Diceros bicornis minor: one gene and its partners. The protein of the gene in region 4 binds, or shares a complex with, the protein of the main gene of each other region. Links are inferred from orthologs where the notes say so. Each region holds a gene or a part of one and is shown on either strand. Other genes may lie near its edges. The genes, in order: TAF7, TAF5, TAF10 and TAF8.

Region 1 (7,432 bases), on a different chromosome or scaffold from region 4:
TTTTGATTTGCATTTCCCTAACAGTTAGTGAAGTTGAGCATTTTTTCATGTGCTCACTGGCCATTTGTATGTTTTTTGGAATTACATATATATTATTATAATCCCCCAAATAATCAGCTCTTTCACGGATACTATTAGTTGCCTCTATGGACTGAATGTTTGTGTCCCCCCCAAATTCATATGTTGAAACCTAACCCCCAGTGTGATGATATTTGGAGGTAGGGCTTTTGGGAGGTGATTAGGTCATGACGGTGAAATCTTCATGAATAGCATCAGTGCCTTTGTAAAACAGGTTGCAGAGAGCTCCCTTACCCCTTCTACCACGTGAGGTTACAGCGAAAAGACTGCCATCTATGAACCAGGAAGCCTGCCCTCACCAGACACCAAATCTGCCAGCACCTTTATCTCAGACTTCTCAGCCTCCAGAACTGAGAAATAAATTTCTCTTGTTTACAGTCCCCTCAGTTTATGGTATTTTGTTATAGCAGCCTGACAGGACTGAGACAGTTGCCCAAGCCCTTTCCTCTCTTCTAACACTTTTCTTTTAGTTTAGGTGTCCACCCTCCCTGTACCTCAGGGGAAGCTGAATGTATTCAGAGCTGTAGTAGGTTCTGATAGATCTAAACCCAATAATGGGGTCCTCTTGTCAGTGTTTAGTTAGGAATATAGGCTTAAAATAATAAACTTAGGGCAAGATTTCCCAAGCTTGGAACTATTTTGAGCCAGATAACTCTTTGCTGTGGGGGGACTGTTCTGGGCATTGTAGGATATGTAGCAGCATCCCTGGCCTCTACCCACTAGATGCCAGTAGACCCCACCCCCACAGTTGTGACAATCAAAAATGTCTCCAGACATTACCAAATATCACCTCCTCCCTACCATTTTGAAAATCACAGGCTTAGGGTATTCCCCTGGTGACTATTATTGAGCCATAGGTACATATTGAGGGATAGGTACATGGCTTAAGTTGGTCCAATCAAATTGAAAGACAGACTTAGGTTGGGGGGAGCCACTCTCTAAACTTACCATAGACAAGGAAGGAAGTTCCCCAGTTACTGTTGGCAGGTTTCTTGTGACCACAGACTTTGTAAGCTTACAAGGAGATGAGGGCAAAGCTGAAAGAATAATAGAAAAAGTAAAAATAAATGCCCATTCTCCAAAATTAGGAAGAAAAAAACAATTTATGCCAGCCAATGATTCTGTCATGCCTAGAGGCAGCCATACTTCTAGAACTGCACTGTCCGATATGGTAACCACCAGCCACATGTGGCCTTGAGCACTTGAAATGTGGCTAGTCCAAAGTGAGATGTACTGTTAAGTGTAAAATACACGCAAGATTTCAAAGATTTAGTACAAAATAAGAATAAAATACATTATTAATAATTTCTACATTGATTATATGTTGAAATGATAATATTTTGGACTATTAGGTTAAATAAAATGTTATTGAAATTAATTCGTTTCTTTTTGCCATTTTAATGTGGCTACCAGATAATTTAATATCACATATTTGGCTTTCATTTGTGGCTCTTATATTTCTATTGGACAGAGCTGCCCTAAACTACCTGTTTTTTTTTTCTTCTTCTTCCCTTTTTCTCCCCAAAGCACCAGTAGATAGTTGTATGTCGTAGTTGCACATCCTGCTAATTGCTGTATATGGGACGCTGCCTCAGCATGGCCGGACAAGCAGTGCGTCGGTGTGCGCATGTGATCCTAACCCAGGCCGCCAGTAGTAGAGCTCGAGCACTTAACCACTAAGCCATGGGGCCGGCCCTCAACTACCTGTTTTTTGAGATAACAGATTTTCTGATTATTTAAACCACTGTTGGTCTTTTCTTAGGTTGGTCTTTTTTCTATGGAAAGCATCCTATTTGATACAGGAGACTGCTAAATTTTAGTTAACCTGCTTTTTACTGTTTATATACTGATATTGCAGTATGTAAGTGTACTTTTTTGGGGTGTTTGCTATTTCCTCACCCCTATAATTTTCTATCTCAAAAATATAAGCAAGGCTTCTCCCATCACCCATAATTTTTAACTTCCGCAGTATAAGGAACTTGAAAGTTTATCAAAAGTTTATTACAGAAAATTTTCAAACATACAGCATTAGCCTGATTGTGATACTCCTTTATTATAGAAAGGAAGTTTTTGGAGAACTTGTTACCACACTGGGGAATTTATTGCTCTCCCCAAATCTTTTGGTTCACTTGTCTCACAGATATTCTGTGGAACAACCACCGGAGTGTAATTCTTTCATCAATTCAGAATGTTTCTGTATGTCTAATGATTTTGATAAATAAAAACAACTGGATTTATCAATAGACATTCAGGTAATGATGATGTGATAGAGCCCTTAGCTTTAGGATCAATGCAATTTCCCCTCCAAAAAAACCAGCATTCAGAGCCAGCCCTCATGGCCTAGCAGTTCAAGTTCAGCATGCTCCAATTCTGTGGCTGGGGTTTGGTTCCTGGGCGCAGAACCACACCATTCGTCTGTCAGTAGCCATGCTGTGGCAGTGGCTCACATAGAAGAATCAGAAGAACTTACAACTATACACAACTATGTACTGGGGGTTGGGGGGTGGGGAGAAGAAAAAAGGAGGAAGATTGGCAATAGAATAGGGTGAATATCCCCCTACAAAAAAACCCAAAAAACAAAAAACAGCACTCAGAAAATGCATTCATTTCAAAAGCAGAAAATATGTTTCGGGATTGAAAGAGGTAGATACTTTAGGGGAAACTTCAGTTAACCTTTTTAATTATATCTGATAATCTTCCATTTAAAGGCTTACTAACTAAAATACATCATAATTTTGGCAAATCAGTATTGCATAGAATTTATCTCAAGTTACTTCTCTGACAAGGATTATTTGAGCATCATAAAACTCACAGGCAATAAAATGCAAAGCAATATTTGGATTATTTTCATGTATAAGCATGGACTCACATTTTATATGGTTAAATAAAACATTATGCAGAGGCTAGCTGTTAAACTCATATCTATAAAATAAGTAAAATCAGGTATAATTAAAGGACAAGCACAGTAAAAAAAATTTCATCTTCAAAAAGAGGAAATACATCATCCTGGAACTTACAGATAAATCAGCTAAGATTTTTCAACACATTATAGAACAGAGAGAACTAATGTACAGTTATCTGAAGAGCATAACATCTCCTTCAAACTTAATATAAAAAAACCAAACTGGTGTCATACCACTTTAATTTCCTCCTATGATACACAGTATGACAGTCTACCTAAACCAAAGAGGACACATTCACACACACTATTAGCAAAACTCTCTGCTCATAACAATTGGCACTGTCCTTGACTAAAGAGTAAATGTTTATGAAGTGGCTCTATCTCATTTTAAGGTCACATAGAATGTATTTTCTCTCGCAAATTATTGTGGAAGTTAGACTATATGTTCTTTCTAGATGGATCAATTGTTTCATTCAATTAGCAAATATTTTTTGTATATCTCTCACGTTTTGATCCTAGGCATTGGGCCATGATGAACTAGATAGAAGACTCCTGATTATCATGGAGCTTCCAATCTGAGGTGAGGGAGACAATAAGTACATAAAGAAATAAAGTGAATTTTGAAAATGTTAGTCCCATTTTAAGAGCGGTCTCTCAAATTTAGATGCAGTTGTTAATATTTTAGAGGACAGAAATTAAATTTTTAATGACCTTGATGCTCTACCAAGCTGATCCTACTAAAAAATAAATGGAAATAAATAAGTGGAAACTGTTACATAGTTAGGCCAAACTACTATAAATACGTGTTGATGAATACCTGAATACCCAGAGAAGAGACAAGCAGAAAACAGTTATCAAAACAGCAAGGGTGGAATGAAAAACATTCCGAACTATTTAAAAATTACTGGCAAGTGAGTGGCAGGTAGTAACACTTCAGTTATATTCTACTTCGATCAGACTATTTGTCTACCAGACAACTCTGATCTAAACAAATACGTGCCTCCAGAAGAACACTTACTTCTCTGTTTACATTTATATCTAAACTAAACATATTAAAAAGAGAAATCACCCTTGTTCCCTTGGGGTCCGTCAAAACGGTAACAGACCCTGAGGCATGAGTCCCCTTTGGGCATTTTCATAATCAACAACAAAAAATAGAATTATATAGTGAGCAGCATGTCCTCCTCACTCGACTGACTTGGGTACTTTAAAATCCACTGTATGGTTAACTATAAATTGTTGTATCGGCTCCATATTGGATATACCCGGGGGAGCATCCGAGCCGTTTCCAGAAGCAAAGACGCTTTGCGCACGGACGCCCTATTTCCGGAAATCACCCGGAAGCCTAGACGCTGTCCCGCCCCACGGCGATCCGGTGAAAGTTCTGGCTCAGCGACGGGGGTGGCGGCAGGACCTACGTCTTTCTTGGAACCGTTTTCTCTAAATTTTCTCAAACCAATAACTGTTTATGAAACACTGTCACTTTTAACGCGTAAAGCCAACTTCTCGCGAGAAGCCAAATCACGCCGGATAGCGTAATTGTGCGTTGCGCCTGCGCGCGCTGGGGCAGTTCGTACTTCCGCGTGAGGCGTGCTGTCACTCACAGCCGCTGGCCGCCTCGCGCAGTGACGTAGTGCTTTCTCCTCCGCTACGTCTGCAGCTCCGCCCAGAGGTTTGTCTCGCTGCGGAGCTGCAGCTTGGCGCTGGGCGCTGCGGGTCCCGGTGAGCTTTCGTGCTGCCCATCCTGGGCCATTTCATTGATAAGCAGTAGCGGATCGCTTTGCTACGAGCCGGGAAGAACAAAGGAATCAGGAAGGAGACGCTCGGCCCGGCCGCCTCGCGCCGAGTTGCTGCTGCTTCCGCTGGCTCCTGTCTGGATAAGCTGGGTTTATAGTCGTCACTCGATTGTAAGTACCCGAGGCGAAGAGAGCTCACTGCGCTCCGCTTTTTGAATATCTTTGTTCCGGGACCTTTTGTGGATTGGGAGTGTCTGCTGGGCCTTACTTTCTGTGCCGAAAATCTTTCTGCAGGAGCCGCCATTTGCTTTCTTGCTAGCTTGCTCTCTCTGCATTGTTCGGCAGCGGCATCTAGAGGTTGGAACTTGGCATTGCAGCTAGTAGATCTAAATGGACCGAACTGAATAAGTCATGGTGTCAGTAACCACTGGTATTCAGGCACAGAATATTTAGAAAGACTTGGGGCTTAATTCAAAATTAAGAGAAAATAGATGCTTAGCTGCTGTACTACCGAGAACTATTTGTAATTAAAGATTTCCATTCATAGCAAACAGGTCTTTCTAACTGCTGCAATAGCTGGAACTTTTTAGTGCAACAAGTGGTTATTGGAGAAGTGAGTCTGAAAGAAATAAAGATGAGTAAGAGCAAAGATGATGCTCCTCACGAACTAGAAAGCCAGTTTATCTTACGGCTACCTCCAGAATATGCCTCTACTGTGAGGCGGGCAGTACAGTCTGGTCATGTCAACCTGAAGGACAGACTGACAATTGAGCTACACCCTGATGGGCGTCATGGAATCGTCAGAGTGGACCGGGTCCCACTGGCCTCCAAATTGGTAGATCTGCCGTGTGTTATGGAAAGTCTGAAAACCATTGATAAAAAAACTTTTTACAAGACAGCTGATATCTGTCAGATGCTTGTCTCCACAGTTGATGGTGATCTGTGCCCTCCTGTGGAGGAACCAGTTGCTACTGCTGATCCCAAAGCAAGCAAGAAAAAGGATAAGGACAAAGAGAAGAAGTTTATATGGAACCATGGAATTACTCTGCCTCTAAAAAATGTCAGAAAGAGAAGGTTCCGGAAGACAGCAAAGAAGAAGTATATTGAATCTCCAGATGTGGAAAAAGAAGTGAAGCGGTTGCTGAGTACAGATGCTGAAGCTGTCAGTACTCGTTGGGAAATAATTGCTGAAGATGAAACAAAAGAAACAGAAAATCAAGGCCTTGATATCTCTTCTCCAGGAATGTCTGGCCACAGGCAGGGCCATGACTCACTAGAACACGATGAGCTTCGGGAGATATTCAATGATCTCAGCAGCAGCAGTGAAGACGAAGATGAGACACAGCATCAGGATGAAGAAGATATAAACATCATTGACACTGAGGAAGATCTGGAAAGACAGCTACAGGACAAGCTAAATGAATCAGATGAACAGCACCAAGAAAATGAGGGAACTAATCCGCTGGTTATGGGAATTCAGAAACAGATTGATAACATGAAAGGCAAGCTCCAGGAGACACAGGACAGGGCAAAGCGACAGGAAGATCTCATCATGAAAGTAGAAAACCTGGCCCTCAAGAACAGGTTTCAGGCTGTGCTGGATGAACTCAAACAAAAGGAAGACCGAGAAAAGGAGCAGCTCAGCTCTTTGCAGGAAGAGCTAGAATCACTCCTAGAGAAGTGAGAAGAGCTTTGATACTGAATTTCATTCCTTAGACTAGTCAACATTAAAGGAAAGTTCTTGGCTTCATCACCTGGACTAGATATTATAATTTTGCAATAGTTCTGATTTCCTCCACTGCCTTCTATTGTGTTTGTTTTATAAACAAATATAAATGTGAATTTCTATTTCATTTGTCTCTCAGAACCACTTTGCTAGGTGTTTGTCCTGTAAAAAGTAGGAATGTATAGACAGATAAGTGATTGTAGGAAAGTTGTAGGGTTAGTGGAATGAACAGTTCAACCTTAGTAATCACAGCCTCACTGCAGGACTTTGCTGCTATTTCTCCATTTGCCAAAAGCTGGTGTTGCTGCTTTGTGGTGACATCTGAGATCAATAAGAGTCTAGTCTGGAAGCAGTGAAGCTAGTTTGCATATGTTTTCCTATGCAGTAGCTATTTTCCTAGCTATTCCAAGCAATTTTCCACATGTAGAGTTGCAAATAGTTTCTTAAAGTTGTTTTAACACAATAAATAAAAGCAACTAATTTTCACCTCATAATGTGTCTTCCTTTTTTAGGGGTAGTGGGTGTGTCAGATCCTCTTATAAGGTGGTTTCTTGGTGGGATTTAATGACTGAGCAATTTGATCGTGTTTTGTAGGGAAAGAAACAGTTATGTTGGGTTTTAGGGAAAACCCAACAGCGGGGGGCAAAGAAATTGGGAAATGTCATCTTTGCATTATATTAAGTTTCCAATCCACCTGCTCCATTTGGAAGTTAGGAAACACTAGGTACAGAACCTTCCTAAACTACCCTAATTTTTGTACATGTAGGTCTATTTTTATCTTTTTTTTTTTTAAGTACTACACATCTGCTTAAAATATTAGAAACAAAACAAAGTAAGGGCTATCAAGTACTGTTCATTGAATCATTCCATTGGTTTGGATTAAGATTGTATTTCTAAATATTTTCAACTTAATTTCTGCAATTATTTAATATTCTGAGAACTGAAGTGATTTGTCCATGTCAGTTGGTCAAAATTGCTCATAAAGGAAGT
Region 2 (7,567 bases), on a different chromosome or scaffold from region 4:
TACATATGTGATATTGTGCGTTATGTAAGTATATTTCTTACCATGAATCATGGCCAAAAATGTTTGAAAGCTACCCATCCAGAGACGATCAGTGCTATCCAACAGAAATATAAAGTGAGTGGCATATGTAATTAAAAATTTCCAGTAGCCACATTAAAAAAGTAAAAAGAAACAGGAAATTAATTTTAACAAAATATTTAACTCATATCAAAAATATTATCCTTTCAACACTACCAATATAAAAATTATTAATGAGCTATTTTCCATTCTTTTTGTACTAAGTCTTTGAAATCCAGTGTGTATTTTACACTTACAGAACACCTCAGTTCAGACCAGCCACATTCAGTGGCCGTAAATAGCCACACACTGATAGACAGTGCAGGTCAGTTTACTGCAACCACTTCCAAACTGAACTTGCTATCTCTAGTCTTGCTTCCCGCTGATCTTTTCCTCCAATTCAGCCTGAGACATATAAACACATAAGTCTGCTTATCCCCTTCCTCAGATTAAAATGGTCCAACCGCTTCCTATTACCTTAGGGATAGAGTCAAAAGTCTTGAACAGGATTGATTTTTGTCAGGATCCAACCCTGGCTAAGCTTTCTGGTCTCATCTCTTCTTCCTCCTCATGCTGATGCTCCTGCCATAAAGAGTTTTGTTCTATTTCTTAAATATGCTCTCACCTCTCTCACTTCTGGTCCTTTGCACATCCCCTCCCCTCCCCCTGCCACCTGTCCCAAGGTTTCCCTCTAGCACAGTAAACATTGTTACTGTCTGGGCTCCATCACTCCTTTTGCCAACACATGCACACACCCACACCCACACCCACACCACACCCACACACACCCCTCAGGAAACTTTCCTGTAGTCAATTGCTACTTTTGACATTCCTCTTTCCAGAGTGAGGTGGGAAAGAGACAAACACAAATAAAGGGCTTTTCCCCAAACTAACTCTTGTCTGTGGCCCCCTGACCCCTTTCACTTTGAGCTGCTATTACATACACACACACATACACACCCTTAGAGTTTTCACAGTTTTTACAGATCTATCAGTTTCAGTATCATCTCTAGGGTTGGGTATGACGGGGAAGCCAGCCACCAGTGTGAATTTAAACTTAAGAACTAAACAAGATGGCAAACTCACACTTGTGGCTGGCTCCCCTGTCACGCCCAACCCTAGAGATGGCATTGTAATTTATAGATCTGTATAAACTGTGAAAACCTGAGGATACGTGTGTTTGCATGTATGCGTGTGTGTTGGCAAACAGGGAGTGACGCAGCCCAGACAGTGACACCACAGTCTTTCCTCCTTTTGGCGCATCCTTTGCCTTTTCCCAGTGCTGGGCTTCAGCCTCTCCCTCTGGGTATACATATCAGCCAAGGTAGCTGATACCTCCAGGAAAATACAAATGCATGGAGAAAAGTAATGAGATGCAGAAGGAGGTGCAACTCCCATTAAAGCAAAAAATGGAACAACCTAGACTAGATGAAACAGATTAAATGCATCAGATGGAAAGATAATTTAAAAAAAATAACACATATCCTCGAAGAGAAAAGAGTTCATATTGGTTACATCAGGGTTTCTCAACCTTGGCACTATCAACATTTTGGGCCAGATAATTTGTTGTGGCAGGGGTGGGGCTGTCCTGTGCATTGTGGGAAGGTTAGCAGCAGCCCTGGCTTCTACTTGCTAGATGCCAGTAGGACCACCCCGAGTTGTGACAACCAAAAGTGTCTCCAGACGTTGCCACATGTCCTCAGGGGAGACAAAAATCACTCAACTGGGTTACATGAAGCAGCAACAATAAATCATGAAGAACCAATTCAAAATACTATGGAAAATATAATGGTTGAAGTAAATAACTCAATAAATGGGTTACGGAGCAATATGGATCTAGGCCAAGAATGAATTACTGCACTGAAAAATCAGGTAGAGGAACGCTTTTAGAAGGTATCAGGAAGAGGTGAACATAAAAATATGAAAGTTAACAGACCTAGAGGAGAGACGTATAAGTATCAATATCTACATCACAAGAATACAAGAAGGGGAAAAATAGAGGGGAGAAAATATTTGTAGATCTAATGCTTGCTAAATTTCCAGAATTAAAAAAAATATCCCAGGGGCCGGCCCTGTGGCTTAGCAGTTAAGTGCGCGCGCTCCGCTACTGTCGGCCCAGGTTCGGATCCCGGGTGCGCACCGATGCACCGCTTCTCCGGCCATGCTGAGGCTGCGTCCCACATACACCAACTAGAAGGATGTGCAACTATGACATACAACTATCTACTGGGGCTTTGCAGAAAAAAAAAAAAGGAGGAGGATTGGCAATAGATGTTAGCTCAGAGCCAGTCTTCCTCAGCAAAAAGAGGAGGATTAGCATGGATGTTAGCTCAGGGCTGATCTTCCTCACGAAAAAAAAAAAAAATATCCCAGACTGAATGGGTGCATAAAGGGCCAATCGGAATAGACAGGAAAAAGGTAATCCTAGATACAGTAGAGTGAAATGAAAGAACATCCAAGACAAAGAAAAACATCCAGAGAGAAAGAGCAGCTGTTCTATAAGGGAATAAGATATAGATTGACACTAGACTTCTTAAAGCATCCCAGGAAGAGAGTAGGCGGAGAATGGGAGTAGGGATCAGAAAGGAAGCGGAAAAGAGAAACAAAAATTAAAAATGGGACTTGCGGGCATTCAATAAACATCTCTACTGTGGTGTAACACAAAGCCACTCTACTTGGAGTAGGCAACCTTGGCTGAAGTCTCAACCCAGACTCTTTGGAACTTAAGAGACAAAGTCAGGTAAAAAGCAGACGCCACAGATGGAAAGGAGGTGGCTGTACTTCTGTGAGTCCTAGTGTCTGGGCTTCAGCTGTACAGGTGGATCCAGTTCCCAGGACTTGATTCACGAGACTAATGTATGCATCAGAAAGTTAATTTCCTAGTCATAATGGGGTAAAACATCTTTTCAGTGAATAGTAAACACACCTGGGCTTGTTATTCACGGCATCTCTCATCTATCTAAATGTTCAATTAATTATTAAGTTAATTAGTGAATACTGAATCAGAAAAAGTGAGTTGAATGATCCCGAAGAAAAGGATGAATTCTCCCCACCTCATAAGAGTGTACCATCAGATTCAGGTTTTCTCTCTCTGGGCCAGTGCTGAGTGAACGCTAACCAATTCTTGCTCATCTTCTCTCCCCCACCTCCAACCCCATGTTTCATATTCTTACTTTAGATAGCCAATTAAATTAGTTTTATATTTCAGTCTTGAGATCACCCTGAACATTATGATTGGACTTTCTTAACAAACATTTACAGAACACCTTTTAGGGGCTGGCCCAGTGGTGCAGCTGTTAAGTGCTTGCGCTCTGCTGCAGCGGCCTGGGTTCGCCAGCTCGGATCCCCGGTGGGCTCAGACGCACCGCTTGTCAAGCCATGCTGTAGCGGTGTCCCATGTAAAGTAGAGGAAGATGGGCACGGATGTTAGCAAAAAAAAAAAAAAAAAACACCTTTTAAGGTGAAGTAAAAATAACCAATAGCTATTTATTATCTTAGGTATCACACACGCTTTACCTCATTTAATCCTCACAACAACTCTATAAGGTAGGTACTATTATTATCATCCCTATTTTAGAAATTGAGCAACTGGAGTAGAGTGAGTTAAGTAACTTGTTCCCGGTCATTCAAGGAAGCCAGTAAGACCTCAAAACAACAACCTGAATAACTGTGCCAGATCTTCCCGATGTCCCAGGCTCACTTTTCTTGTCTGTACCTATCCCACAGAGTTGTGAGGTTCAAATGAGATAAAATACACAGCAGTGAAGCATGCATATGAATGAAGCTTATTGCAAAACGGTATATACTATTTAAAAATATACAACTAAAATGCAGTTTATTTGTAATAATGGATAATATAGCATGAATACAGAATGTACATATTTCACAATCACAAAATTCAGGTACTTAAAAACTTTTTATTGAAATATATATGCTATAACGTTCACAAAGCTTAAGCGTGCACTCGATTTTTACAAAAAGAAAAACTGCAAAAATAAAATAAAAATAAACACCATCTAGATCAAAATATAAAACATTACCATTATCTCAGAAGCCTCCCTCTGACAAATGATATATGCTTTTGAGTTAAAGACCTGGATTCGAATCCTGACACTTTGCACTTCCTTCTTGTGTGACTTTGGCAAGTTATTTAACCTCTTTGGATCTCCGCCGAACAATCTGTAAAGTGAGGATAACAGTACCTTATAAGATTGTTGAATTAAAGGTGGTCATATAATGTAGAACGTCTATCACAGTGCCTGAATATAGCTGGTCTGTAATAAATGGTAATTATTATCAGGCAAACGTAATAGGCGGCTGCCTACTCTCACTTCCTGCCTTTCTGTCACTCACTTTCGAAAGCTGCCCTGGCTCCCATTTCTCTTCTCCTTCTTTCTCGCCCCTCCTACTGCCGTAAATTGCCTTCCAGAACTGTCGTAAAATGCTCCTCCCCACCCTCCATGTGGCGAAAACGCAATCACGCTTGACGGCGCGAGGTGGCTCAGCCGCAAGATGGCGGCGCTGGCGGAGGAGCAGACGGAGGTGGCGGTCAAGTTAGAGTCTGAGGGACCGCCGACGCTGCTACCTCCGCAGGCGGGGGACGGCGCTGGTGAGGGTGGCGGCGGCACTACCAACAACGGCCCCAGCGGCTGCGGCGGGAACGTTGCGGCGTCGTCCTCGGCCGGCGGGGATGGCGGGACCCCCAAACCCTCGGTGGCTGTCTCCGCCGTTGCCCCGGCGGGGGCGGCCCCGGTGCCCGCCGCTGCTCCGGAGGCCGGCGCTCCCCACGACCGACAGACTCTGCTGGCCGTGCTGCAGTTCCTACGGCAGAGCAACCTTCGCGAGGCCGAAGAGGCGCTGCGCCGTGAGGCCCGGCTGCTGGAGGAGGCAGTGGCGGGCTCCGGAGCCCCGGGAGAGGCGGACGGCGCCAGCGCTGAGGCGGCTAGCGCGCTTCTCAGCCGGGTCACAGCCTCGGTCCCCGGCCCTGCGGCCCCCGACCCTCCGGGCACCGGCACTTCGGGGGCTGCCGCCGTCTCGGGCTCAGCCACAGGTCCCGCGGCTCCGGGGAAAGGTGAGCCGCGGGGTCTCGGGGAGGCAGGGCCGGCAAGAAGGGGAGCAAGCCGGGAAGGCAGGGGATGGCAGGCCTGCACCTCTGCGGGCTTGTTTTGAATTTCCTGGGCCCGCCTCTAGGGCCACATGCCCGCCCCTTTCTCTAGTGCGCCGGCTGCGCAAACCGTCTTCCGAGCTGTCAATTCCAGCGAGAGGCTGAGGAGAGCTGTTGAGCAGAGGGATGTATGGGGAAGGTGGGCGCGGAGAGGCGGGGACTTTCATGCTCTCGGTCCCTTTCCTCTTATTTGGGCTGTGGAGCTTTTAGCAGCTCTACCTTGACACTAGCAATATTTGTACAGTTCTGTACTAGCATACTTTAAGTACTATAAATACTTGAAGTTGTGTATCTTAATTCTTACAGTTCAAACTGTGACGTAGACGTTACCTCTATTCTAGAGATGAGAAAAAAGACTGAGAAAGGCCAAGAGACTTGCTCTGGATCACACAGCCAGGGAGTGATGGAACTTGGTGTAGCCAGTATTTCTCAAAATATAGGCTAAGGACCACCAGTGTTAAATCTTTTGGGGAATGCGGATTCCTGGGCATCACTTCAGACTAAGTGAATCAAACCCTGTGGAAGTGGAGACTAGGAATCTGCATTTTTAATAAATGTTTCCAGGGGGTATTGATGTATGACAAAGTTTGAGAACCGTTCGTTTAGGAATAGTGGTTGGGGGCCGGTCGGCTCCGTGGCGTAGTGGTTAGGTGCGCGAGCTCCGCTGCTGGCAGCCTGGGGTCGGATCCCGGGCGCGCACCGACACACCGCTTGTTAGGCCATGCTGTGGGGGCATCCCATATAACGTAGAGGAAGATGGGCATGGATGTTAGCCCAGGGCCAGTTTTCCTCAGCAAAAAAGAGGAGGATTGGCAGATGTTAGCTCAGGGCTGGTCTTCCTCAAAGGAATAGGGGTTGGGGAGACCTGGGTTCAGATTCTGTTTCTGTTGCTTTTTCTTGTGTGATGCTGATTAAGTTATTCTTCCTAAGCTTGAGCTTTTCCCCCCTCTATTAAATGGGTTATTGTGAGGCTTGGATATAATATATGTACAATGCCTAGCACTGATAAGTTTATGACTAGGTGTCCATCCCTGACATCTGAGGGCCCCCCCGCCCCTTTTCCCAGCAACTGTTGTCTCCAAGTCCATGTAGGAGTAAAACTCCTACACAATGTAAGGTCTTAAAGGTGATCCTGAGTTGATAATAAACATTTATTGAATTAAATTATCTAGTGCAGAGCCTCTGGGCAAATTAATCTGTATTTATGAAACCTAATTTTTGCAGCATTGCCAGAGTGAAGTATAATTAGATAGCACTGTAACTCATTAAAAGAAATGTGTGAAAATATGATTGAGAGGAATCTTTTCTGAATGCTAAATTTTGCACATGAACTATAAGATGGATGAATTATGTTGTTGGTTATTTTACTGTAATCTCTCATATCTTCAGAAACTTGACCTATTTTTTTAGATCATAACTCAGAAACCAGTAAGGAGGAAAAGAAGCCATAAAAGTGATTAACAGATTTTATAATATTTGTGCAGTAAAGAGCATAACATAACAGTTGCAACTTAAAAATTGCCAACAATCAAACTGATTTGATTGACAGATGTATCATTGTTTGGGATTGCTATATTACAAATAAATACTCATGTTTTCTGCCTTGAAATGGTGGTTATGGAAATTGTTTTAAGCCTATAAAATTGAATTATCTTTTGGAAATATAAATAAGGCAAGGTCCTTCCTGCTCTTAAAATGCTTACGTTTTATGAAGAGTAATAGATGTACACATGTGAAGGTAACATATGATGGGATGTATTACAGGAAAGATACAAAGTACTTACGTAGCTCAGAGAGCTGGGACTATTACTCCAGGGCATGAGTTGGTGGTGGTGGGTGCCGTTTGCACTGAGCCTTGAGAGAAGATTAATATAGTTTTTTGATTTGCACATACCTTGTTTTATAAAATTTGTCTTTAATATAAGGTAGCTCCAGGAAAAATAGTGGATCTTTTTGTTATTGATTTGAAAATTTTATTTTACGATATGGACAAGCTGAAGGAGTTTTGGATGGGTGACGGAAACAAAGTGAAAATCCCATTTAAAGATCACGTGGTTGTGTTGGGGAAGAGAGCTTGAGAGGAGTGGGAGAAACATTTGAGAAACAATTCATCTCTGGACCTTAGTAAAATAGCCCCAGTTACTTGGTACATAACATGTCATTTTCTTGAAAGTTGTTTTCATTTTTTAAACAGTTGGAAGTGTAGCTGTGGAAGACCAGCCGGATGTCAGTGCCGTGCTGTCAGCCTACAACCAACAAGGAGACCCCACAATGTATGAAGAATACTATAGTGGACTGAAACACTTCATTGAATGTTCCTTGGACTGCCATCGGGCAGAGTTATCC
Region 3 (6,615 bases), on a different chromosome or scaffold from region 4:
ATGATATCTGCTCTGACTCCCTCCATAGTTCCTGGAGCAGTATTTCCATGACTCAGACCTGGCTGAGTTCATGCGCCTCTTTGGTGGGAAGTTTGCACACCAGGCATCAGTAGCCCGTGTGGTCGGACAACAGGGTCGGGGCCTGGCCGGGATCGAGGCCAGTCTAGATGTGCAGTACCTGATGAGTGCTGGCGCCAACATCTCCACCTGGGTCTACAGTAACCCTGGTACTGCCATGGGGACTGGTTGGTGGGGAGGGGGTGTGGGTGAGTGTTGATCCTTGCTCCCTGAAGGGAATCCCATGAGCTAGAGGGAGAGCCTGACAACCCACCAAATGACTGCCCTTATGCTCCACCCCCTCAAAAAAATCCAGGCCGGCACGAGTCACAGGAGCCCTTCCTGCAGTGGCTCCTACTACTCAGTAACGAGTCAGCCCTGCCACATGTGCACACCGTGAGCTACGGAGATGACGAGGACTCCCTCAGCAGTGCCTACCTCCAGCGGGTCAACACCGAGTTCATGAAGGCTGCTGCTCGTGGTCTTACCCTGCTCTTTGCCTCAGGTGACCTCCTACTCAAATTTAGACCGCCTCCACTCACCCACCCAACCTGGCAGATTTGACCCACAGTGACATGTGAACCTCATCTCTGACTCATAATCTGAACTCAACAGAGACCACTGACTGACCTCTAAACTTTGACCTCTTGCAGTAATGACTAACACTTGAATTTCCTCTCCGACATCTGAACCCACACACCAAGCTCTGACCAATTAATCTGAGTGCTAAACTCGGTCTCTCTCCCAGGTGACAGTGGGGCTGGGTGTTGGTCTGTCTCTGGAAGACACCAGTTCCGTCCCACCTTCCCTGCCTCCAGGTAAGCACCCTAGCCGACCACTTACCTGTGACCACCAACCTTTCATCTGTGACCTCCTGATCTGGAACCTTTGCCTGACCGCACCAGGCCCTCCTGTGACTCAGCCCTCAGCTTTACCTGCTCTGGTTGCTGCACTCCCCTCTTCTTCCTGTAGGTCCCAGGCCCCAAGACTCCTGAGTAGGACACAGCTCCCAGTGTTCCTTTTCCTCAGTCCCCAGGCATTTTAGTGAAAGATTTGGTGGGTGTTCCATAGGGAAAAATGTGCACAGTCACCTCAGGCCATGCCTTGAGGGCTCAAAACCTCTTAGTCATCCCCCTGTACATGCTTCCCTACAGAGTCCAGCCCCTCTGCAAGTCCAGCCCCTATGCAAGATCCAGGGCATACTTCCCCATCCCTACTCATTTTGGAGGTCCCCTTGGGACCCCTACGATCTGAGCGCTGTCTTCTGCCCTCAGCCCCTATGTCACCACGGTGGGAGGCACATCCTTCCAGAATCCTTTCCGAGTCACAAATGAAGTTGTTGACTATATCAGTGGTGGTGGCTTTAGCAATGTGTTCCCACGGCCTTCATACCAGGTACGCATATGTTTGTGTGGGTGGATGGGTAGGGGGGATCCTCAGTTCAGCAGACAAGACTCACTCAGCAATGCCTTTCAGGAGGAAGCTGTATCCCAGTTCCTGAGCTCCAGCCCCCATTTGCCGCCATCCAGTTACTTCAACGCCAGTGGCCGTGCCTACCCAGATGTGGCTGCACTCTCTGATGGCTACTGGGTGGTCAGCAACAATGTGCCCATTCCATGGGTGTCTGGCACCTCGGTGAGAATCAGCCTGGCTCCAAAACCCCCACTCAGCAACTACTCTTGCACCCAGAACCCCTGACTCCTCAGAGACCTCTGGTCCTTTCAAACATCCCTCTCCCAAAGTCCAATCACTCTGAACCCCTAACCTCTACTTACACCCTCACCCTTGCAGGCCTCTACTCCAGTGTTTGGGGGTCTCCTAGCCCTGATAAATGAACACAGAATTCTCAGTGGCCACCCTTCTCTTGGCTTTCTCAACCCAAGGCTCTACCAGCAGCGTGGGACAGGACTCTTTGATGTAAGTGTGGAATGGAAGGGGGCGGACGTTTTCCTAAGAGTATGGGGAGTGCTAAAATGAACTTGAGGGCAGTTCTTACGGGGTGGGAGAGCCCCTGGGATGTGAATACAATGTGAGGGAGTGCAGTCTATTAGTACTGGGACCAGCAGACCCAAATCTGATGCCCACTTTCTCCCTAGGTAACCCGTGGCTGCCATGAGTCCTGTCTGAATGAAGAGGTGCAGGGTGAGGGTTTCTGCTCTGGCCCTGGCTGGGATCCTGTGACAGGCTGGGGAACACCCAACTTCCCAGCTCTACTGAAGACACTAATCAACCCTTGACCCTTTCCTACCAAGAGAATGGGCCTGTCCCCTGCCCCACGGCTGGCGGCTCGGTCCCTTATTCTGCAGTTGGAAGCCCTGCTGAACCCTCAACTGTTGACTGCTGCAGATAGTTTATCTCCCTAACCCTGAAATGCTGTGAGCTTGACTTGATTCCCAATGCTTCCCTGCTCCATGATACTCAGGTCTCCCTACTCCTGCCTCAGGTTCCTCTACAGATGCTATAACCAGTACTGTTTGGGATTCCCCCCCCCCCATTTCTTCTTTCTCTTTTCAACCAGACTTTTCCAAAGGGTTGTCTACGCAGTCTGTATACGTTATTCCACCACATATTCTCTCAATTCATTGCAACGAAACCTCTGCTTTCATTTTTTCACTTTTTCCTCCCGACACTGAGAAACAATGGCCTCCCTGCTGCTTCATCCAGTGCACACGTCCCAGTTTCCGCTTTAGGGGCTCTCTGTCATAGTTGCTCACTCTCTCTCCTTCTTTAGCTTCCAGGGCTTAACTTTTCCTCTGACCATTCTCTCTTCCTCCTTCATTCCCTCTTCCTCCTTCTCTTTCTCTTCTTCCTCATTGAATATTGGTGTACTTCATTGCTCCATCCTTAGTCTTTTGCTCTCGTCACTCTACCCATTGTCCCCTGGAAGAAATCAATCACTGGCATCCACAGCCATCACCATCTCCCAAATCAGACTTTCTATCCAACAGTAATTGATACCACAGATGCAAGATGTGTGAAACTCAATACTTGATCTCCCTCCTTCCCAATCCCAAACTGTTCTCTTTTGTTTATTCTTGGTAAATGATACTACGCTTCTTCCAACCAAGCCAGAAACCTAAGTGTCATCCTAGACTCCCATTTCCTTCACCTCCCCCCATCACCACCTTCAATCAAGTCCTATTGACTTCACCTCTTAAATACATCTTTATCAATCCACAAGTCCTGCCAGTTATGTCTCCTAAGTATATCTAGAACTCGTCTGCTTCTCTCCATCTCCACTGCTACTACATTAGCTTAGAGCCATCTTGTCTCTCCTCTGAACTGTAGGAGGCCCTTGCAAAAAGTGTCCTTACGTTCTGCCCTTCCCTAAACCATCTTCCAGAGTAAAATGCAAATCCCATCAGGTCATTTACTTGATTAAGACCCTTCAAAGATTACTGGATAAAGTTCAGTCTTTTTACCATGATTCACAAACTGGATCCCTTCCTTGCTGTTTGTTCCTGAGTAACAAGTTGTTTATCCTCCCCTGCTCTCCTCCCCACACTTTCACTCTTGCTCAAGACATTCTGTGCCCTTAACACTACTCTTAACTCCCCTTTGCTTGGTTGACTTCCAGGACTTTTTCAAGAATCAGCTCAGAAGTCACCTTCTCCTGTGAACCTTTTGGCTTCCTGAAATTAGTTGATTTTGGCATGTCAGAAAAATCCTAGATTTTTGAAACCAAACCAGTTTGATTCTTGGTTCTGATATAGACTAGAAGAGAACCTTGGGCAAGTAAGTTCATCTCCCTGAGGCTTTTTTCTCATGTTAAGTAGGGATATCGATACCTGCCTCTCATAACAAGCAAGGAATAATTAAATGGAATCAAGTTGATAGAGCACCTGACACACAGAAGTAAGCAGCAGATGTTAGTTCCCTTCCTCTGCTGCACCGCATTCTGTGTCTACCTCTAGGATTATAAATCTCACATAATATTGAAATTGCCAGATTACCTGTTTGCCTCCCTTTCCAAGACCATTGGTGCCTAGAGGACTAGAATCTTGTCCTACTTAACTTTGTATTCCCAGGCCCTAGCTCAGGATTGGCAAATAGGAATCAAATAAATGTTTGCTGCATTTAAAACCCCACTTTTTCACTCGCTGTGATTTTGCATATGTTGTTTACCCAGGCTGAAATACCTCTTTCCACCATCTACAGCAACACTGTGTGCGCTCTCCCGCTGCCCTCACTTCTCCCGGCAGCTGGCGGGGAGTGGGGGCTTTCCAACTCCATTACTAAGCCTTAAAAACACTGAATGAGGGAGCTATAAAGGATGCAGGCTGGCAGGCCTCCTGGTCGAGGGGGCTGGGCCCAGGAGCCCCAAAGCAAGGTCTTTAGGCGTAAGACTGAATGAGGGGGTCCCAGACCCACCGAAGAGAGTCCTCGACATTCAAGGGTTCCCATCCCAGCGGAACACTTGAATACGGCGCGGGTAGAGGGTGGAATGTCCGCGGCCAGCGCCATTCTCCTAGGCTGGTCCCCAACCTTCAGTCCATGTCATCCAGCGGGAGGATGGGCAACCGGGAGGCGGAAAACCTACGGCGGAGGGCGAACACGGCGTGGGCGCGGCGAGTCGCGAGGCGTGTGACGTCACCCATGGTGTGTGTGCGTAACGTGAGCGGAAGCGGAAGTGGCTCTGTTCGCCGCCTCTCCCACCGGCCCGATGAGCTGCAGCGGCTCTGGCGCGGACCCCGAGGCGGCGCCGGCCTCCGCCGCCTCGGCCCCGGGCCCGGCGCCCGCGGTCTCGGCCCCCGCCGCGCTGCCCGCCGGCACTGCTGTGGAGAACAAGGCCAGCCCCGCGGGGACAGCAGGGGGGCCTGGGGCTGGAGCCGCGGCAGCGGGCACGGGACCCGTGGCGGCGCGGGCCGGGGAGCCGGCCGAGCGGCGCGGGGCGGGTGAGGGCCGGGACGGGTGAGGGCGAGGGCAGCGCCTTGGGCTGGGCCCAGCGGCGGGTGAGAGCAGAGGGTCTAAGGCAGATCTAGCCGGGGCCCTGCGCCCCCCACCTCCGTGTCTCAGTTTGCTGGTTCTTCTCCAGCTCCGGTGTCGGCGGGCGGCGCGGCGCCCCCCGAGGGGGCCATGTCTAACGGGGTTTACGTGCTGCCGAGCGCGGCCAACGGAGAGGTGAAGCCGGTGGTGTCCAGCACGCCTCTGGTGGACTTCCTGATGCAGCTGGAGGATTACACGCCTACGGTGGGCTTCCAGCCTGAACAAGGCTGTTGACACGCTGTCACGCCAACTTTCCGCCACACCACCTGGATTTCCAGCGTCCTCTTGTATTTGCTTCCCTGCTAGCTCTTGTGATTTATCCCCTCTGCCCAGCCAAACTGTGAGCTTCCTGATAGCCAGGCCTGTCCTCCCCCATTTCCCTTACTCTCTCACTGCCGTGCACAGGGCTAACACTGACAGTCATCTAATTGATTTCTCAGATCCCAGATGCAGTGACTGGTTACTACCTGAACCGTGCTGGCTTTGAGGCCTCGGACCCACGCATGTGAGTAACCTGTGGGCAGGTTAGAGCCTTGGGTGCTTGTGTGGACTCTGTTGTCCATCTCCTCCTCATACCAGTTTTTTCTCTCTAGAATTCGGCTCATCTCCCTAGCTGCCCAGAAATTCATCTCAGATATTGCCAACGATGCCCTACAGCACTGCAAAATGAAGGGCACAGCCTCTGGCAGCTCCCGAAGCAAGAGCAAGGTGTGAGGGGAGGCTCATTGAATCAGTAATTACCTCCCCAGCAGCAGAGGCTTAATTTATGCTGAAACTCCTTTGGGGAAACTAAGCTCTAGGGGAGGTGAATGACCTACTCAGGGTCATCACCTGGGACTAAAATCTGGGATTCCTCTGCTCAGCTGGTGCTCTTCCGTCTTCCCTCAGGACCGCAAGTACACTCTAACCATGGAGGACTTGACCCCTGCCCTCAGCGAGTATGGCATCAATGTGAAGAAGCCGCACTACTTCACCTGAGCCACCCAACCTAAATGTATTTGTCTGTCCCCTTGACCCCACACCAGCCTGTTTCCATAATAAACTTTATTGTGACAGGCAGGGCTGATCCCTCCCATGCTGGGAGACACCGTGTGGCAAGTGACAAAGCTCTGAGCCCAGCCCCTTTTGGGGCCACAGTGGTAGGGACGGGGGCAGGGGATGGGCCCCATGGCTGGGGTAGTACCATGACTGGAGGCAGGGAAGGCAACCAGAGGCCTGCAGCTCTGGGGAGGTGCACTCCCCTGTGTCCTGACACCTCTGGAGTATAGGCAAGGACTTTCCAGCCCTACTTGTCCTGCATCTTCTCCAGGATAGGCACAATCATGTCAAACTTGGGTCGCTTAGCAGGGTCTTCATTCATGCAGATCTTCATGAGCTTACACACATGGGGGGAAATGCCTGGTGGGATGGTAGGCCGAAGGCCTTCCAGTGCCACCTGCAGATACAGGGAAAAACCAGGTAGGTCTCAGAACTTGAGTCATGTGGGGAAAGGCCTCTAGCCCTCAGGACAGGATTACTGTATATCCAAACATACACAGTATGAGAGCCCAGCCCCACCACAGTTATTGTCAC
Region 4 (7,763 bases):
TGCCAGCAGGTCCTAGGGTGTCAAAGGATACATACAGGAAACAGAGACTTTGCTCCAAGCCGGGTCTAAGATTGGGGTCCCTAGAAACGAAGTGATTGTAGTGAACAAGCACATCAGTTCTGCCCGATGCTTACAACTAACGCAAATCCTAAAACTGACATCCAGAACCACTGACAACACGGAGGCGCTCGAGTCGCAGCAAGCCCTCAGCTTAAGCCACCCATCCTTGGTACTCCTTTGGCTGAAGAGGCAGGCTTTTATACTATCTCCAGACCTTTTAGTTCTAATACTCACAGCTTTCCAACACAACTAGTTCAGCGCCTTCACGTTCAGCGGCAACCATTTCTTCTGAGGAAAAAAAAGGCGTCTTCTAGTGGTAGGAGAAAGAACCACCTCGACTATGAGGATCTTTAAACTCGGAATGGCGAGATCTTTTCAAGAACTGAATTCCTATCTGTTGGGAAATATGAGTCCACTCCTTTAGGACAAAAGTTTTCAGCGTGTCTAGGAATCCCAGGGTGTCCCTGACATCCTTTCCAAAGTCCACAGGTCAAAAACATTTTCAGAATAAAATTAAGACATTTTTTGACTTTTTCCTTTTCATTCTCGCATGTAGTTTTCCAGAGGCTATATGACTTGTGATGACATCATGGCTCTGCTGGATAATGGAACACATGCTTGTGCATTCTTATGTTTTAAAATATTCTGTTTTATTTTCTAACGTCGCAAATATCTATATAGTATATAAAGCCCATGTATACAAAACTCTTCAGGGTCCTCAATATTTAAGAGTCTAAAGGGGTTCTGAGACCAAAAAGTTCAAGATCGCTGCTTTAGGAAAACATTTGGTATTGAAAAGTTCTAAATATCAGCTGCAGAGAGCCACCTCACCCCAGGTCACACCCTTCCTGGCACGCCCACATCTAGTGACTGATCAAGACTGGAGTACAAATGGAGGGCCTGTGTGGCCTGAGGTGGGATACTGATAGCAATAAGCTATGCAGAGCTCCCCAGGGATTTGAGTAATTCTTTGTCTGACCTGCATTGCAGTTCAACTTCTCCCTCTGCCTAAACCTCTCTCACTTCCACTCATAGGTGTTGATCCCTTTAAAAACACCTTAAATACCCCTATCCCTCATCCCATCCTACTAAAAATAAAATAAGGTCCAAACAGGGAAACATGTTGCACATGCAGCAAAACCTAGGTGAGACCATTCCAGGTTCCTAAACCTCAAGACATTTCCTTTTTTTTTTTTTTTTAAAGTTATTTATTTATTTTGTGAGGAAGATCAGCCCTGAGCTAACATCCATGCCAATCCTCCTCTTTTTGCTGAGGAAGACTGGCCCTGAGCTAACATCCGTGCCGATCTTCCTCCACTTTATGTAGGACGCTGCCACAGCATGGCCTGACAAGCGGTGCGGCGGTCCGCGCCCGGGATCCAAACCTGGGCCGCCAGCAGCAGAGCGCACGCACTTAACCGCTATGCCACAGGGCTGGCCCCAAGACATCTCCTTTTAAAAGTGGTTTTTCCCATTCTATAAAACCTATTCACCCTTACTCTTTGTATCACATAATATAACATTTGATTATATAATGTGTGGCATCTACTTCATGGGAATTAATCTGAACTCTCCAACAAAACTGTAAGTTCTTTGAACATAGAGAGCAAACAGCAATAATAACAGCACCTATAAGTCATCAAGAGCTTACAATGTTCCCAGCATTGAATGTTTTACAGATATATCTTACTCATACTCACAACTCCATTAGGTGTAAATTATTATCCCATTTCACAAATGAGGAAATGGAGGTTCAGGAGGTTTAGTGACTTGCCCAAACTATTAAGTGACAGAGTAATGACTTACACCCAGGTCTGTCTGATTCTAAAGCCTCTAAGTCACTTTACTATGGTCTCCTTTTTCTTAAATCCTCTCTAACACTATCACAATGCAGGACACAGAACAGATGCGTGGTTGACTCGACAAGGCCTAGCTTTCCCCATACTCACAGCTCTGCAGCATCTCTGTCAATGTTTCCACAGATGCTTTCTCAGCGCTCTCAAACCCTGCCTCTGTCAGCAAAGAGCTCACAACCACTTGCAGGGTTCGCCTCCGAGCCAGATGGTAGTTATCAGCAGGGTTAGTAGATTGTTTACTTCCTGATCTCTGTGAATCAGCAGCCCAAAAAGAGAGAAGATTTTCATTCACAGGACAAGGATACAATCACATAGTTCACATGTCATCAATGGCAAGCAAAGGTTCTTTTGCTAACTACTTATTTATCAGTGCTTAATAAAATGTGGCAGGCTCCGATGTTTAGACTTATAGATCTTGGCTGAGTGATAACTGAGCACCCAAGGGGCTCTAAATACGGAGAATGCCTTTCTACCTACCTAAAACTTAAAATTCTAGTAACACAAAATGGTTGTTTTTTACTTTCTATTTCAGCAGAGTATCAGAATACATTACATAGCTAAAGAAACACGCATGATGGGAGTGAATTCATGTCTACCTCTCAGAAGGAAAAAAACAAAAACTCTCTCTTGTTCCTCCCATTTCTACACCATCTCACTAACAGGAAAATTAAAATAATAACACAGGATGCTGAGAAGAGGAGGGCAAAGGATAATAGCCAAGTAGGAAAGCTAAATATTTTGAAACAGGAATCCCTCCCAACTTTGGCTAGCCAATAAGAAAGCGAAAACGGCCTCTTCGGACCAATCAGGAGGTGTTCCGGGTTCCCAACACCCAACAGGGAACGAGCCAATCAGTACACAGGTCCACCAACTCAGGAGGCCGCCGCCAAGTCCCGAGGAGGGGGGGCATGTACGGCCTGGAAGACCTTCCTCCACTCGGAGCTCATGGTGGGGCTGGACTTCCGGGTATGAGCTTGTCGCCCAGGCTAGGGGAAAGTTACAGAATGCCCAGACTCTCTCGGCTTCGGCCCCGCGCCTCCCGCCCTTACCGTTCCGGAGCCGCCGGCCCCGGCAGTGGCCGCCGTGTCGGCCATCTTGCTCGGCGTAGTGTGCGCGAGCGCAGGGCAGGATGGAACTTGTAGTCGCGGGGCGGGGAGGGGCAGGGAGGGGCAGGGAAGGGGCGGGGCAGCGCGAGCCCCTGCGGGCTTTCCGAAGCCCAGATGGGGGGATGCGTTTGATGACCCCGGCTCACGTGACATTCTGTGAGCGTTGGGTTCAGGGGGTCCCAGTACGCCACGGAATTGGCCAGGAAGACGCGCCCTCGGTTTCACAAGTCTTTCAAGATGAAATCGTTTCTCATAGAGAGCACAGCTCTGGAACGCTCAAACTTGCGTGATTGTTAGCAACACCTGGCTGGGTCCCGTCCAGTCCCAGCGACTGACTCTCTGGGGTGGGGCCTGGGAATCTCTATTGTTAAACTCTCCAGGTGATTCTCCTGTGCGGGAAATTTGGGAAACCTTATTTTGTGCTGACAGCTCCGCAGTTCCCAAGTCCCACTTGGAACCAGAGCCTAACGACCACCTAGTGCACGTTTTCCTCTGCATCCAGCTGCCTTCTCGCACTCAATTAATCCGCAGGTATTTGCGCGGCCAGCCGGGAGGCGCAGGCGGCAGGAGGCTGTCCCTTGCCCGCCTCACTCCCAGGGCGTTGCGTCCACGCGGTGCCTGTAGTTTTCCGTGGCTCACTCGCCCGTCAGCCCCTTTGGATGGGGTTCTTCGTGCGGGGACCTCACCATGCCTCCTTCGTCTCCGTTTGCGGGTGCCTGGCAGGACGCAGACTCTGGGTTTGAATCCTAACACTCGCCAGCCGTGGGACGTCTGGCACATTACCCAACCTTACTGTGCCTCAGTTTCCTCTTTTGTGGAACTGGGGTGGGATTGAAAGCAGGGGAAAACATGAGCTAAAATACACAAAGGATCTGTCACGGTGCCAGACGTATAGTAAGAGGTCAAGAAACAGCGCCTAATGTTGTTGATTTCCTGCCAAGCGCGTGGAGCGCCCAGAAGGCAGAAGTCTGGGAACCTGCGCTGCGCCTGTCCTGCAGCGCGCGCCTGAGCCTGGGAGCGCGCCCGCCCCTCACCCAGGGCACGGGGGGCGGGGTCTGTGGGCGGGGGGCGCGGCGCCGGGTGAGCCGCGGGGCCGCGCCAGGAGGAGTCGGGGCCCAAACCTTAGCTGAGCGGAGCGCCCAGCCCCTTTGTTTCCCCCGCCCCCTCCTCCCCACTTCCTGCCCAGCTTTAAACTCCGGATCGGCGGCGCGGCGCGGACTTTGTAAACACGCCGCGCCCGCGGGGGCGGAGACTGGTTCGGTTTGGGCGTCTGCAGGAGGGGTCCACGCCCCCCCAACCCCCGCGGCTGGAAGTTGCGACCCCCCTCCCCCACCTTCCCAAAGACAGAAGCCAGAGGCGGCAGGAGAAAGTGCGGCCACAGTCGGTGCTCTGGTGGACTCACCTGCCAAGGAGGTAGGCTTGAGGGCTGGAGAAACCAAGATAGAGGGAGTGTCAGCATCTCCCTCTTTCTCTGGGGCCTCCAAGCTCAGGCTGGGTACCCGGGGTAGGGGGTCACCGCGCCTTATCACCTCCCCGTTGTCACCCAAAGCTCGGCTCACTTTCTCTCTGAGTGAGCTGTTCTGCACGTAGCTGAAGGGCAGAGAAGCCCCTCAAAGCCCTGAGCCCTCTATGTCCCCACAGCCTCCCTCCAAGCTGACCTGGAAGCCCAGTGGCTTCACTGGGCTGTCGTCGTTCTTCATACCTCAGATACAGGGGTGGGAGGCAAGTAGGAGGGCAGAACCAGTGTGGAGAGAGACCCTTCAGGTCCTCCTGCCAGCCAGGGCAGAAGGAGGAGGCCAGAGTACAGGACTGGAAGGAGAGACCCCTCACTGTTCGTCCCTCTGGTGTCTGATGGGTACACAAGTGACGGGCTTAGCCTCTTCTGTGTCTTTTGTGTCAGCGAGAGGAATAACGGAAGAAATTGGTTGCTGCTACTAAGGGAGCATTAATGTATTCATTTTCAGACATTAATTGGGCACTTACTATGTGTCTGGGATGGTGTGGGATGCTGAGGGTGCAATGATGTTAGTCATCCACAGTTAGTGTGTGTCATAGACCGACAGAGATAAGGTGCCAAGTTGGAGTGGCTGGGAATGCTTCAGAGAGAAGAGGACGTTTGAGTTGTCTTCTGAATGATGCAAGTCACCAGGCAGAGAAGTGGTGGGAAGTCATTGGGAGCACTTTTTCGTTCTCCAGAGCTGTACTCATGCCTGACAGTGGTGTGGGGCATTAGGTACAATGAGGACTCAGATGCAGTTCCTGCTCTCTCTAACCCACTGCCTGGGCATGAGGAAGAGGTGGGAATGAACAGGATGAATTCAGGGAAAGGCAGGTTTCTAGGCTGATCCCTAAGAACCCAGAAATTCCCAGTTGGGTGCAGCTGGAAGGGTCCACCTGGGGGTGATGCAACAGTCCACACAATCTTGGGGCACCCACGCCCATCTCTGGACTCTAGGACTGTTTCCTCTAACAAATCCTTGCTCTCTGCCTCCCACTCAGTTCTCTTTGAGACCAGACTTGGGTGAAGAGAACTGGAGCTCCCACTGCTTTCCTGCAGAGTGTTCTGCTCTTTCAGTTTCTGGGCTCCTGGGAGAGGTGACGGGCACAACACCTGTTTGCTGTGGCCATACTCTGTCTGCACAGGCTAGATGTGGGGGATGTAATGGCAAACGAGTCAGAGCTTCTATCCCCCTGGAATTTAGAATCAAAAGCGTTTCTGAGGATTCCAGCAGGATCCCAGTCTATGCCCAGTCGTTGAGACCATGACCTCCATGGTCCCAAGCGCCTTCTCTTTCCTGTTTCCCTCCCTCAAGGGTTCAGAATATTAGCTGACACTTATATATAGCACTGGCAGGTACTATTCTCAATGTTTTAGGTGTAATGTCTCATTTAATCCTCTCAATGGTCCTATGAGGTAAGCACTAGGATTATGTGCATTTTATAGATGAGGAAGCTCAGGCACAGAGGAGATATGTAATTTTCCTAAAGAGGACACCAGAAATAAATGGCAGAGCTGGGATTTAAACCCAAGTCACTTGACTTAGAAGGCCCTGTTCTTAACCAAAGGCTAGCCTGCCTCCTGGACTGACCACATAGAATGTGCACTTGAGCCAGGGGCTTAGGAGTCCCTGAAAGGGAGTCCCTGGTCCTTTATCTTGAGTGATACAGAGGAGAGCAATCTGTTAGCTGAGCGCGGGTTTGCAGGGAGCCCCAGCAGGCCTGGGGGCCCTAGGGTTATGGTGATTGCACAGAGCTTATATGCTGTCTAATGGCGTGTGTGTGTGTGTGTGTGTGTGTGTGTGTGTGTGTGTCTGAGTAAGCCTCACTGACCAAGAGGAACAAACCAAGGTTTGATGCAAGAACGAACACAGCATGGATGTATTGTGCCAGAATCTGGGGATGTGGGAAACCAAGACACCTCTTTTGTTGGAAATCTTTAAGAATAGCGTGGACCCTCGTATTCTAGATTCCAAAAGGAACAGTCCAACTTGGTAGCTAAGTAAGGAAGATGCGGGGGGAGGAGTGGAAGCAATCTTGAGATGCTCACTTCTCTTCCCCACAGCTGCTGCATCCCAAAGCTGCCTCTGTGCATCTGACCCCATCCCTCCAGGCAGGCTGGGACAATGCCCATGGTGTGAGCCAGGCCACAGGGCAGAGGTTCCATGGGAACCCATTTTTCCATTACCTTTCTGAAACTCTAGGTTTCTCACAAGAGCCCTCTGCACAGATCTGGGGAGGCTCTGGGGCAGTCCCTCTCTGCCAGCAATCAAACCGCCTCGTGCCTCTGTCTTTGAGAGAGGGGTGTGTGTTGGGGGGATGGGTATTGATGCAGGGAGTGAAGGGCAGAGGTGGCCACACTGAGATACAGATAAGCAGGATGTACCGACCTCCAGGCTGCTCCCCTGCCACCCCCCGGCCCTGCCCCCCCGCTTCCTCTCTCAGCTTAGGGTGGGGTGCGGTGGAACCCTTGGCATGCTCCGGCCCCCTGCCCCAGGCGCTCTCTTGGCTGGGGAGAACAGGTTGTACTCTTGAGAAAACCACAAGAGGAAGTTTAGGGAGGGCTGGGGGTGGGGAAAGTTCTGGGGCCCCTGCCAAGTTTCCCTTTCTCTGCTGAGCGGTGATAGGTGTGTTTATTTTGGTGTGTTTCTCTTGCCCTCAAAGACATTTAAACTTTAAACTCTTGAGTTTCAAAGTGCTGTCAAGGCCTGCCCCATTACTGCAGGGGGCCAGAGACACTGTGGAAATGGGATTGGAACAAGGTGCCCATTTGTTGATTTCACCCACCTGGGATTTGTGCTGGGTGGGAAAGGCTGACTAACCCCAGAAAGTCTCTTTTTCTCTCTCTGCCCTTTCGCCTTTCTCTTCCTGCAAGCACTCCCTACAGCCCTTAATCCAGAGGAATGTGGTTATAATGACCGCTTAGGAGCTGAATGGTGTTGTCAGGAGCAACACATGTTGCTAAGTATTTTACCTGCCTTATCTCACTTAATATTCACCACAACTCCAGGTAGTAAATACCGCTATCCTTCATTTACAACGAGGAAACAGGCTCAGAAAGGCTAAGAAACTTGGCTGAGGTCACACAGCTAGTAAGTGGCAGAGCTCAGATTTGAACACTGGTTTGTCTGATTTCAAAGCCAGTGCTCCTGATGTCTAAATGAACCCCCAGATCGGAGCATCAACTTCCCCAACATATCACACCCTGAACAGTAGGGAGGTTGAGATCCAAAGGTGTTTTAAA

The links.
Region 1: TAF8 (region 4) and TAF7 share a complex: the UniProt entries of both Homo sapiens proteins name them as parts of the TFIID basal transcription factor complex. The link is inferred for Diceros bicornis minor from reciprocal best matches to the Homo sapiens genes TAF8 and TAF7.
Region 2: TAF8 (region 4) and TAF5 share a complex: the UniProt entries of both Homo sapiens proteins name them as parts of the TFIID basal transcription factor complex. The link is inferred for Diceros bicornis minor from reciprocal best matches to the Homo sapiens genes TAF8 and TAF5.
Region 3: the proteins of TAF8 (region 4) and TAF10 are in contact, whole or in part, in a crystal structure (PDB 4WV4), measured with the Homo sapiens proteins. The link is inferred for Diceros bicornis minor from reciprocal best matches to the Homo sapiens genes TAF8 and TAF10. Residues at the interface, in NP_612639.2 of Homo sapiens: Arg33, Thr36, Leu37, Val40, Ser43, Leu44, Leu45, Ala48, Gly49, Phe50, Glu51, Ser52, Ala53, Glu54, Ala56, Ser57, Thr60, Leu61, Met64, Leu65, Gln66, Tyr68, Ile69, Ser70, Ile72, Gly73, Arg74, Ala76, Lys77, Cys80; in NP_006275.1 of Homo sapiens: Pro115, Leu116, Phe119, Leu120, Leu123, Tyr126, Thr127, Thr129, Ile130, Pro131, Val134, Thr135, Tyr137, Tyr138, Leu139, Ala142, Gly143, Phe144, Glu145, Ser147, Asp148, Arg150, Ile151, Leu154, Ile155, Leu157, Ala158, Ala159, Gln160, Lys161.

What each region holds. Positions count from the first base shown.
Region 1 is NC_080740.1:59,489,617-59,497,048, reverse strand, and holds TAF7 (transcription initiation factor TFIID subunit 7), read left to right. Parts: upstream 1-4,642; 5' UTR 4,643-4,887; intron 4,888-5,010; exon of another isoform or gene 5,011-5,263; 5' UTR 5,264-5,350; coding exon 5,351-6,400; 3' UTR 6,401-6,928; downstream 6,929-7,432. UniProt on the Homo sapiens protein: The TFIID basal transcription factor complex plays a major role in the initiation of RNA polymerase II (Pol II)-dependent transcription.
Region 2 is NC_080745.1:68,225,824-68,233,390, forward strand, and holds the start of TAF5 (transcription initiation factor TFIID subunit 5), read left to right. Parts: upstream 1-4,561; 5' UTR 4,562-4,569; coding exon 4,570-5,128; intron 5,129-7,415; coding exon 7,416-7,567. UniProt on the Homo sapiens protein: The TFIID basal transcription factor complex plays a major role in the initiation of RNA polymerase II (Pol II)-dependent transcription.
Region 3 is NC_080746.1:64,662,009-64,668,623, reverse strand, and holds TAF10 (transcription initiation factor TFIID subunit 10), read left to right. Parts: upstream 1-4,705; 5' UTR 4,706-4,720; coding exon 4,721-4,952; intron 4,953-5,092; coding exon 5,093-5,247; intron 5,248-5,483; coding exon 5,484-5,548; intron 5,549-5,636; coding exon 5,637-5,751; intron 5,752-5,931; coding exon 5,932-6,021; 3' UTR 6,022-6,102; downstream 6,103-6,615. Other genes in the region: TPP1 (tripeptidyl-peptidase 1), read left to right, coding at 29-227, 374-567, 811-875, 1,332-1,452, 1,534-1,692, 1,849-1,974, 2,154-2,294; ILK (integrin-linked protein kinase), read right to left, coding at 6,329-6,478. UniProt on the Homo sapiens protein: The TFIID basal transcription factor complex plays a major role in the initiation of RNA polymerase II (Pol II)-dependent transcription.
Region 4 is NC_080753.1:23,422,470-23,430,232, forward strand, and holds the start of TAF8 (transcription initiation factor TFIID subunit 8), read right to left. Parts: upstream 3,011-7,763; coding exon 2,966-3,010; intron 2,167-2,965; coding exon 2,010-2,166; intron 1-2,009. UniProt on the Homo sapiens protein: The TFIID basal transcription factor complex plays a major role in the initiation of RNA polymerase II (Pol II)-dependent transcription.